2 linked regions of the Oryctolagus cuniculus genome follow. The protein of the gene in region 1 binds, or shares a complex with, the protein of each later gene. Links are inferred from orthologs where the notes say so. Each region holds a gene or a part of one and is shown on either strand. Other genes may lie near its edges.

What was found.
Region 2: the proteins of SIN3B (region 1) and PHF12 are in contact, whole or in part, in a cryo-EM structure (PDB 8BPA), measured with the Homo sapiens proteins. The link is inferred for Oryctolagus cuniculus from reciprocal best matches to the Homo sapiens genes SIN3B and PHF12. Residues at the interface, in NP_056075.1 of Homo sapiens: Glu307, Phe311, Leu318, Glu322, Val323, Tyr324, Glu325, Asn326, Leu328, Arg329, Cys330, Ile331, Leu333, Phe334, Asn335, Glu343, Leu347, Pro350, Phe351, Lys354, Phe365, Lys395, Arg396, Glu490, Glu493, Leu494, Val497, Tyr545, Arg546, Ile547; in NP_001028733.1 of Homo sapiens: Leu20, Met21, Gln23, Ile24, Gln25, Leu27, Leu28, Pro30, Pro31, Lys32, Thr33, Asn264, Leu266, Val267, Leu269, Val271, Val273, Phe275, Thr276, Asn278, Arg279, Ser280, Arg282, Cys292, Pro293, Leu294, Pro316, Asn317, His318, Ile319.

Annotation. Positions count from the first base shown.
Region 1 is NC_091447.1:65,101,992-65,106,406, reverse strand, and holds the start of SIN3B (paired amphipathic helix protein Sin3b), read right to left. Parts: upstream 2,920-4,415; 5' UTR 2,873-2,919; coding exon 2,762-2,872; intron 2,520-2,761; coding exon 2,413-2,519; intron 1,403-2,412; coding exon 1,249-1,402; intron 1-1,248.
Region 2 is NC_091448.1:44,391,303-44,394,947, reverse strand, and holds part of PHF12 (PHD finger protein 12), read left to right. Parts: intron 1-1; coding exon 2-797; intron 798-2,370; coding exon 2,371-2,496; intron 2,497-3,158; coding exon 3,159-3,302; intron 3,303-3,645.

The sequences.
Region 1 (4,415 bases):
CCCTGCGGGGGGGACACCTGTCCAGGTGAGAGAGGAGGCGGCTCAGCGGCTTCCGGCTGCAGCGAGAGGCGCCCCGTCACATAGCTACACAAGGCAAAGTCCTGACCTCACAGCCTGGGGGCGCTCTGGTCACCTCCACCCCCTGGGGAGGGGACAGGATCGTGCCCGCTCTCGTCATCTGGACAGCAGCCCTGGGGGACAGCGGGGCCCTGGGACTACTGCCGGGAGGCACCCACTCCCAGTAACCCTCCCGGTGCGGCTCCTGCCGAGACCTGGCCCGGGGAAGTGGGGTGACCCCCCCACTTAGGGGGTTAGGGGTGGTGAGCGCTGTGAGCGGGCGAGGGTGGGGACATCCGGGATGCCCCGGTGTGTACAGAGCATGCAGACACGGGCGACGCTGCTGCCCCGCACTGGGGAGCTGAACCCGCTAAGGCTCTGGCGGCCTGAAGCCCCGGCCCCGCCTCCAAGCCTCTCCCCATGGAGACGCAGGCCGCGGCTCAGTCCTCAGTGGCGAGGGGGCGGTGCTGCTGTGTGGGCAAGCCGGGTTTACACGTGCGCCGTGCACGCACGGGGAGGGGCTGGCCCCGGGCACGTCCCCGCGAGCTGCTCTCTGCCCAGGTCCTGATTCCCGGACACATCGGCCCCTCTGCAGCCTCCACCCGGTGCTTCCAGACCTGCCCCTCGCTGACGGGGCGGGGCATGGGCTGGAGGCGGAGGCGGAGCCGGCTCCCTCACACCAGCGGGGAGTACTGGGGAGGGGGCGGGGCAGGGATGCCGCAGGTGGCAACAGCAGGAGGTGCAGGCAAAGCCCTCGGTCACCTCCCGCACCTGCAGCTAGGCGGCCCTTCGTTGCGTCCCAGGGGCTGGGAGACCGGGCAGCTGTCACCCCGAGACAGAAGGAGCCGTGGCCAACAAGCCTGAGCTGAGCCAGTGCCCCAGGAGCAATTAAACGAAGCAAAGCTGCTTGCACGCGCGCGTGCACACACACACCCTCGAGCCTGCCTGGCACGCTTGGGAAAGCCGCACGCCACGGCTTCACGTGGCGTTTCCGGCTCTGACGTGAGATTCCGTGTCGGCAGGGCGCCGCCCCGAGATCTTCCACACAGACCAGTCAGGAGCCCAGGGACGCGCGTGGAGGTGGCCCCGCCTACTCTGATCGCGTGCTGGGAGCCGCGCCTGGGCAGCAGCAGGCCAAGGCCACGCCCACCCGCCCGCCCCGCCCCACCTGCCCCGCCCTCCCGCGCGTACCTGGCCTGACGGGGGCGACTGCACATTCAGCTTGCCATTCTTGGGGATGTCGATCCTGTACCCCAGCGGCAGGAAGGCGTTGAACCCCACGATGAGGTCGGGGTGCTCGTGGAAGAGCTGCGACACGCGCCTGATGACTCCGGGGGTGTCGATGCTGCGGGAGGGGCAGACACGGCGGCCGGTGGGCCGGGGAAGAGCCCCGCGCCTCCGCTCCCCTGCAAACCCGCCCCTCGGGCGACCAGGGAGAGGGGTCTCGGGGCTCAGCTCCCCCAGACGCTGCTGGCCACGCACTCCGTGAACAGCAGAAGGGCCCGCCGCCTGGCTGGGGACGCCACGTGCTCAACCCCACGGTACCGGATTGTGACACAGGCTCCCATCAGAGCAACGGGATTGCGACAAAGTATGGGAGGCGCGGGAAGAACGCCAGGGCAGAGCCCCCCCCCCCCCCCCGTGCCGGGCCCCCGCAGGAGCGGCCCAGAAAGGAAACCTGTCCAGCCGGGTTTCCGCGAGTCGCGGGGACAGGACCCACGGGCCACGGCCTGCGCCGCCCGCATCCCACATGGCAGCCCCACTCCAGACCCCGGCGCAGCGAAGGAAGACTTGGGGGTCCCTGCACCCACGTGGGAGACCCGGATGGAGCTCCCGGCTCCTGGCTCCAGCCTGGCCCAGCCCTGGCTGCTGCAGCCATTTGGGGAGTGACCCAGCGGATGGACGCTCGCTCTCGCGCGCATGCGCTCTCTCTCTCACGCGAATAAATAAGAAAACAGTACACACCTGAGGGTCTGGGCCCCCTCTACCTCCAGCTTACCAAGACAGCGTTCCCAACAGTCTGGGCGCGTGGCAGGTCCCTCCCTAAGCCTTTGGTACCCCTTACTTCTGAGCAGCCCCGGGGCTAGCGGGAGCCAATGAGGACCAAACTGAACTTTTCAAAACCAGCATTTTAAAATAAGAGACCCCAACCTCGCACCCCCCCCCAATCGTGGCTACAACTCCTTCCCCAATTTTTTTTGGGTTTTTTTTGGAGGGGTCGAAGCCCCGGGAGATGAACCCCTTGTGCAAGGTCACCCCGCTGGGAGGCGGCCCGGGGAGCCGGGTCCCCCAGTCTGCTTGGCCCGATTCCAGCCCGCGGCGGGGGGTGGGATGGGGATGGGGGGTCCCGGGTACCTCTGGCTTTTGAACTCCTTCATGATCTCCAGGAAGCCGTTGTAGGTAGCAGGGTCGCTGCCGAAACGGATCTTCACCTGGTCCAGGTAAGTCAGCGCGTCCTCGACCTGCGGGAACGGGGAGGGTCCCGGTGGGCAGGGGTCGCGGGGGCGGGCAAGGCACGGGACGGCGGGGTCCCGGGCAGCAAGGGCAGCGGGCTGCGCCTCCGAGGGGTCGGTCTGGGGTCCGGAGTCCCGGGCTGCGCAGAGGGGAGGCCGAAGCGGGGCCGGGTGGGGCCGGGGTGAGGGGGCGCAGGCCGCGGGGGCCGCGCGACGGGGGTCCCCGAAGGCAGGCAGGGGGTGCCACTCACATGCACGGGCAGCTTCTCGTGGCCCGCGGAGCCCGAGCGACCCCAGCGGGCGCCGCTCAGCCCTCGGCCCGCGGAGCCCCCGACGCCGCTGCCGCCACCCGCGTGCGCCATGTTGGAAGTCAGAGCCGAAGCCCGCCCCGCCTCCGCTGAGTCCCCGGTCGCGCACGCGCGGCTCCTCCCCGGGGCGGGGCCGATGACGTCGAGGAGTGGGCGGGGCCCTGGGGCAGGTGTAGTTCTGGAAGTTGGAGGTCCTGGCTGCTGACTGACAGAGCAGAGCAGGGGCTAAGCGTTTGTCAGGCCCCGCTTGATGGAAGAAAATTCTGTGTTTGTAAATAAAGTTTTATTGAAACACAGGCCCGAGCACTGGCTGCTTTCGCCCAGTAGCAGCAAAGCAGCCGCGACCCCTGCCCACGGGGACCCCCCCCTTGCTGGCTCTATGGAAGACGTGTGTGGCTCCCCTGCTGTGCAGGGCTTGAAGTGACCCTGGGGTACAGGCCTGAAGCACCCCGGGGCCTGCTCGGGGCCGTTTTGGCTACAAGGTCCTTGACTTTGCCCCTTTCCTCCTCTCTCCACTTCCCGTCTCCCCATCATTTTGCAGCTGGACCCGCTCCGGGGCCGCCAAACCAGAGTTCCCGAACTCGGTGCTCTTGTGGACTTGCGTCAGGAGTGGGCATTTGGAGTGAACCAGCAGAAGGAAGACACCTCTCTCCCTCCCTCTCCCTCTCTCTCTCTCTTCCCCCTGCCCCCACCCTGTCGTTTTGGCTTCCAAATAATCCTTTAAAAAATAGCCTGGTCCCCTCATCATCTAGAAAACACAACCCAAACTAGACTCTTTTTATTTTTATTAAAGATTTCTTTATTTATTTGAAAGAGTTACACAGAGAGAGGAGAGGCAGAGCGAAAGAGAGAGAGAGAGGTCTTCCATCTGCTGATTCACTCCCCAATTGGCCGCAACGGCCAGAGCTGCGCTGATCTGAAGCCAGGAGCCAGGAGCTCCAACCGGCTCTCCCACATGGGTGCAGGGGCCCAAGCACTTGGACCATTTTCTACTGCTTTCCCAGGCCACAGCAGAGAGCTGGATTGGAAAAGGAGCAGCCAGGACTAGAACCCGCGCCCATATGGGATGCTGGCGCTTCAGGCCAGGGCATTAACCCACTGCGCCACAGCGCTGGCCGCTTTATTTTTACTTTTTAGTATTTCTATTTGAAAGACGGAGATCTTACATCCACTGGTTCATTCCCCCCCAACCCCCCCAGCCCAGGTTGGGCCAGGTCAAAGCCAAGAGGGAGACTCCACCCAGGTCTCCCAAGGGGGTGGCAGGGACCCACGCACACACACTCCCCAGGGTGCACATCAGCGGGGAGCAGAGCTGGGGCTGGAAGCAGGTGCTCCGATGGGCGACACAGGCGTCCCCAGCGGCGGCGTAACCACCGCACCCCAATACCTGCCCTAGCAAACCCAGTGCTGACCTGAGCTCTCTGGAGTCCCAGCCCCCACGTGGGAGCTGCGGGAAAGTGGAGGCTGCGTCAGCTCGGAACGCATCCTGGGCCGGGCGCTGCAGCCCATGGCGGACAAACCCGGGCATTGTCCTGGGGGGTGCGGGGCGGGCGGAAGGGGTGGCAGATAAGAACCCATCACACTCACGCCCCAGCTG
Region 2 (3,645 bases), on another chromosome or scaffold:
GTGGCTCTGTAGTGTTGTTGCGCTCCAGTGCAGCATATTGAAACATTTATCTGCTAAGCAGATGCCTTCGCATTGGGACTCTGAACAGACAGAGAAGGCTGATATTAAGCCTGTTATTGTGACTGACAGCTCAATCACCACTTCCCTGCAAACAGCTGACAAGGCACCTACAGCTTCCCACTACCCCTTGTCCTGCCCCTCAGGGTTTAGCACCCAGAACTCCCTGAGCTGCTCTCCACCCCACCAGCCCCCAGCCCTAGAGGACATCAGCTGCAGTTCTTGTGCGGAAAAATCCAAGAAAGCCCCTTGTGGGACTGCCAACGGGCCAGTGAACACAGAGGTGAAAGCCAATGGCCCTCACCTCTACAGCAGCCCCACTGATTCCACGGACCCCCGGCGACTTCCAGGCGCCAACACCCCCCTACCAGGCCTCTCACACCGGCAAAGCTGGCCTCGACCCCTCACGCCACCAGCGGCTGGGGGGCTTCAGAACCACACCGTCGGCATCATTGTGAAGACAGAGAATGCCACTGGCCCCAGCTCTTGCCCCCAGAGGAGTTTGGTTCCTGTCCCAAGCCTGCCCCCTTCCATTCCCAGCTCTTGTGCCAGCATTGAGAACACCAGCACTTTGCAAAGAAAGACTGTCCAATCACAGATAGGACCTCCGTTGACAGACTCAAGGCCACTGGGCTCACCCCCAAATGCCACCCGGGTGCTCACTCCCCCCCAAGCAGCAGGAGATGGTATCATGGCCACAGGAGCCAACCAACGATTCTGCTCACCAGCGCCATCATCAGGTGAGTGCTACTCAGTCTGGGGTGATTTTACATTCTTCCTGGCAAGACCTAAGATTCCAAAAGCATTTATACTGCTGTGACTATGTCACATGAATTTTTTTTTAATACTGATTTACTTAAAAGGCAGAGCATCAGAGAGAGAGGGCAAGGCAGAGAGAGCTTCCATCTGCTGGTTCACTCCCTAAAGGGCCACAACAGCCAGCTCTGGACCAGGCCAAAACCAGGAGCCAGAAATTCCATCCAGGTTTCCCACATGGGTGGCAGGGGCCTAAATACTTGGGCCGTCCTCCACCATCTTTCCAGGTGCATTAACAGGAAGCTGAATCAGAAGCAAAGTAGCTGGAATTCATGGAATTCAAACTAGCACTCTGATATGGAATGCCAGCATCACAAGTGGTGGCTTAACCCTGTGTGCCACAATGCTGGCTCTCATCACGGGATTTTGATCTCTGTATTGTTTGTTCTCCCCCCCACAGCCATTTGTGTAATAGAAAAGGAAGCATATTGTCAACCTGTCCCCGTTTTTATAGGTGGGACTGCTTAGGCTCTGAAAGCTTACATGATTTCCTTAATGGTGCCCAGTGGCCGGATTAGAACTGCAACCTGAGTCTCCTGACTCCTTCCCCCACTTTCCAGGCCTAGACTTCTGGCTGTTTCGTTTTGTTCTATCACCTTCAAAAACAGCATCATGCTATCTGGAACCACTGTGGTCTAGGTAATGGCCTCAGTGTTTCATGTTTCACACAAGACTAGAGCCATGCCTGGTAGAGATTTTGAGCCAGCTCATTTGAGGAACTTCCATGTCAGGGAAACTGGGACAGAAAGTATCACAGTGTTTTAGAGTAGCTTCAGAGTGGGATGCCCGTGGAGGTTGGTCTGGCTCAGAAGCTTGCTCTCAGGCTCCATGCTAAAGGGCATTCCCTTAAGTCTATACTTGGCCCAGTATGGACCTGCTTGCTCAGCTGCCCCTAGTCAGCACTCAGGAGCCCAAGGTTGCTGACCCCAGCATCTGAACCAGGTTTCAGATGCTGCTGGAACCCCCTGTGGTCTCTCCTGTCCGAACTGAAGCCGGCCTCCTAGTCAGCTGGGAGTCTCGGTAACCAGGTGACTGTGATTTCCCTGCATGGGGGCCCCTGGTCCCAGGATGGCCCTGCTCCCAGGCTGTTTTTCTGTCTCGGTTTACCTTTTCATATCAGCCTGGATAGCTTCTGCACGCTCTGAGTCGTACTTCAGTAGGTAGGAATTACAGAGGAAAGTACAACTTCCTTTAGAGGCAGCAGGGTGGTGGTCATGGCCCAGAAAATGAAGCTGCCCCACCACTTTCCCAAAGCAGTAGATCACAGTGGCTCTCAGTGCTCTGGAGACTGCTGCGTTCCCTGGGTGCATTGTCATTCCGTTTGCCCTTCCTCACCACACGTTTTTAGCTCTAGGAGTTCCAGAACCTATGGGTTGAGAATCAAGAAGGGAACATCACCTTTGGTCCGAAATCCAGACCTGTCTCAGCAGTGGGGGATTGGATCAGTGGGTTTCCCTCAGGCTACGTAAGTAACAAGTCTTCCTGCTCCGTCCCCAGATGGCAAGGTCAGCCCCGGCACGTTATCCATAGGAAGCGCTTTAACCGTACCCTCTTTCCCAGCCAACTCTACTGCCATGGTGGACCTCACCAACTCACTTCGAGCATTTATGGATGTCAATGGAGGTGAGTGCGTGAGCTGCTTCTGTTCTACCAACTGCTGGGGTGCAGGGGCCTTCCTTGTCCGACATTTGGCTCATTTCAGAGACAGAGAAAAGAAACAATGCCTGATCTCAGGGGACTAAGGTGTGGAGGGTGTGGAGTGCCCCTTTGGGTAGAGAATTGGAGTAAAAAAGCTAGCTCTGCCTTCTACACATGCATGTACCTGTAAAGACAAGGGAAAACAAGGCTGAGCTGAACCAGTGAGCCAAGAACAAAGTGACTTCAGCAGATCACCTGGCCTTCAGAGCAAAACTGGGAGCTTCCTCCTCGAAGTCAAGGAGTCATCAACCCCCAGAGTCAAGGAGAAAAGGCACAGATCCTGACCTCTGTGAACAGAGGGTAGATAGAAACCCAAGTCTCAAAACCAGACAACCAGGCTGTCCCCGTAGGTAGGCAAGTGGTTTATTTTGCTCTGCCTTTTTAGGACCACTTCACCCAAAGTTACTCTGCCCAAATACCCACATGCACATGGCGAGCTGCCTGGCTCTGCTTCCTTGAACCCCTCTATACTCGATGCTGTTTGACTGGATTTCAAAAATGCTGAACTTTTTGCTCTGTGACCCTTAACTACTTCCACATTCCATTTCCACCTCAGCTGCTTTTTAATCTTTTTCTTTGATTAATAGAAATCGAGATAAATATGCTGGACGAGAAGCTGATCAAGTTTCTGGCCTTGCAGAGAATACATCAGCTTTTCCCCTCCCGGGTCCAAGCTTCACCAGGCAGTGTCGGGACACATCCACTGGCTTCCGGAGGGCACCACACAGAAGGTGCGCATGCACACACCACACAGCACCACTGCACCACCAGCTCTCCCCTCTGTGTGTACAGCCACTTTACTTCCATGGAGAATCTCAGCTTCCAGTATCTCGCATCTCCTTGTGTGCTTTTAAAGGGCTTAGTAAAGCACTATGGCTTTTTTATTCTCCCTCAGAGCAGGAGTGAGATGGCAACCACAGCTTTTTCTGTTCAGTCTTGGGGAAGACATTTGAGACACAGTGGAGCAGCTCCCAGTACCTTTGGATATATATGGTGTGCTTTCTGCTCAACTGCTTTCAAATATTTGAATTAGAAGGATTGACCAAGAGGGAACTTTAGAAGGTCAAGGTGAGA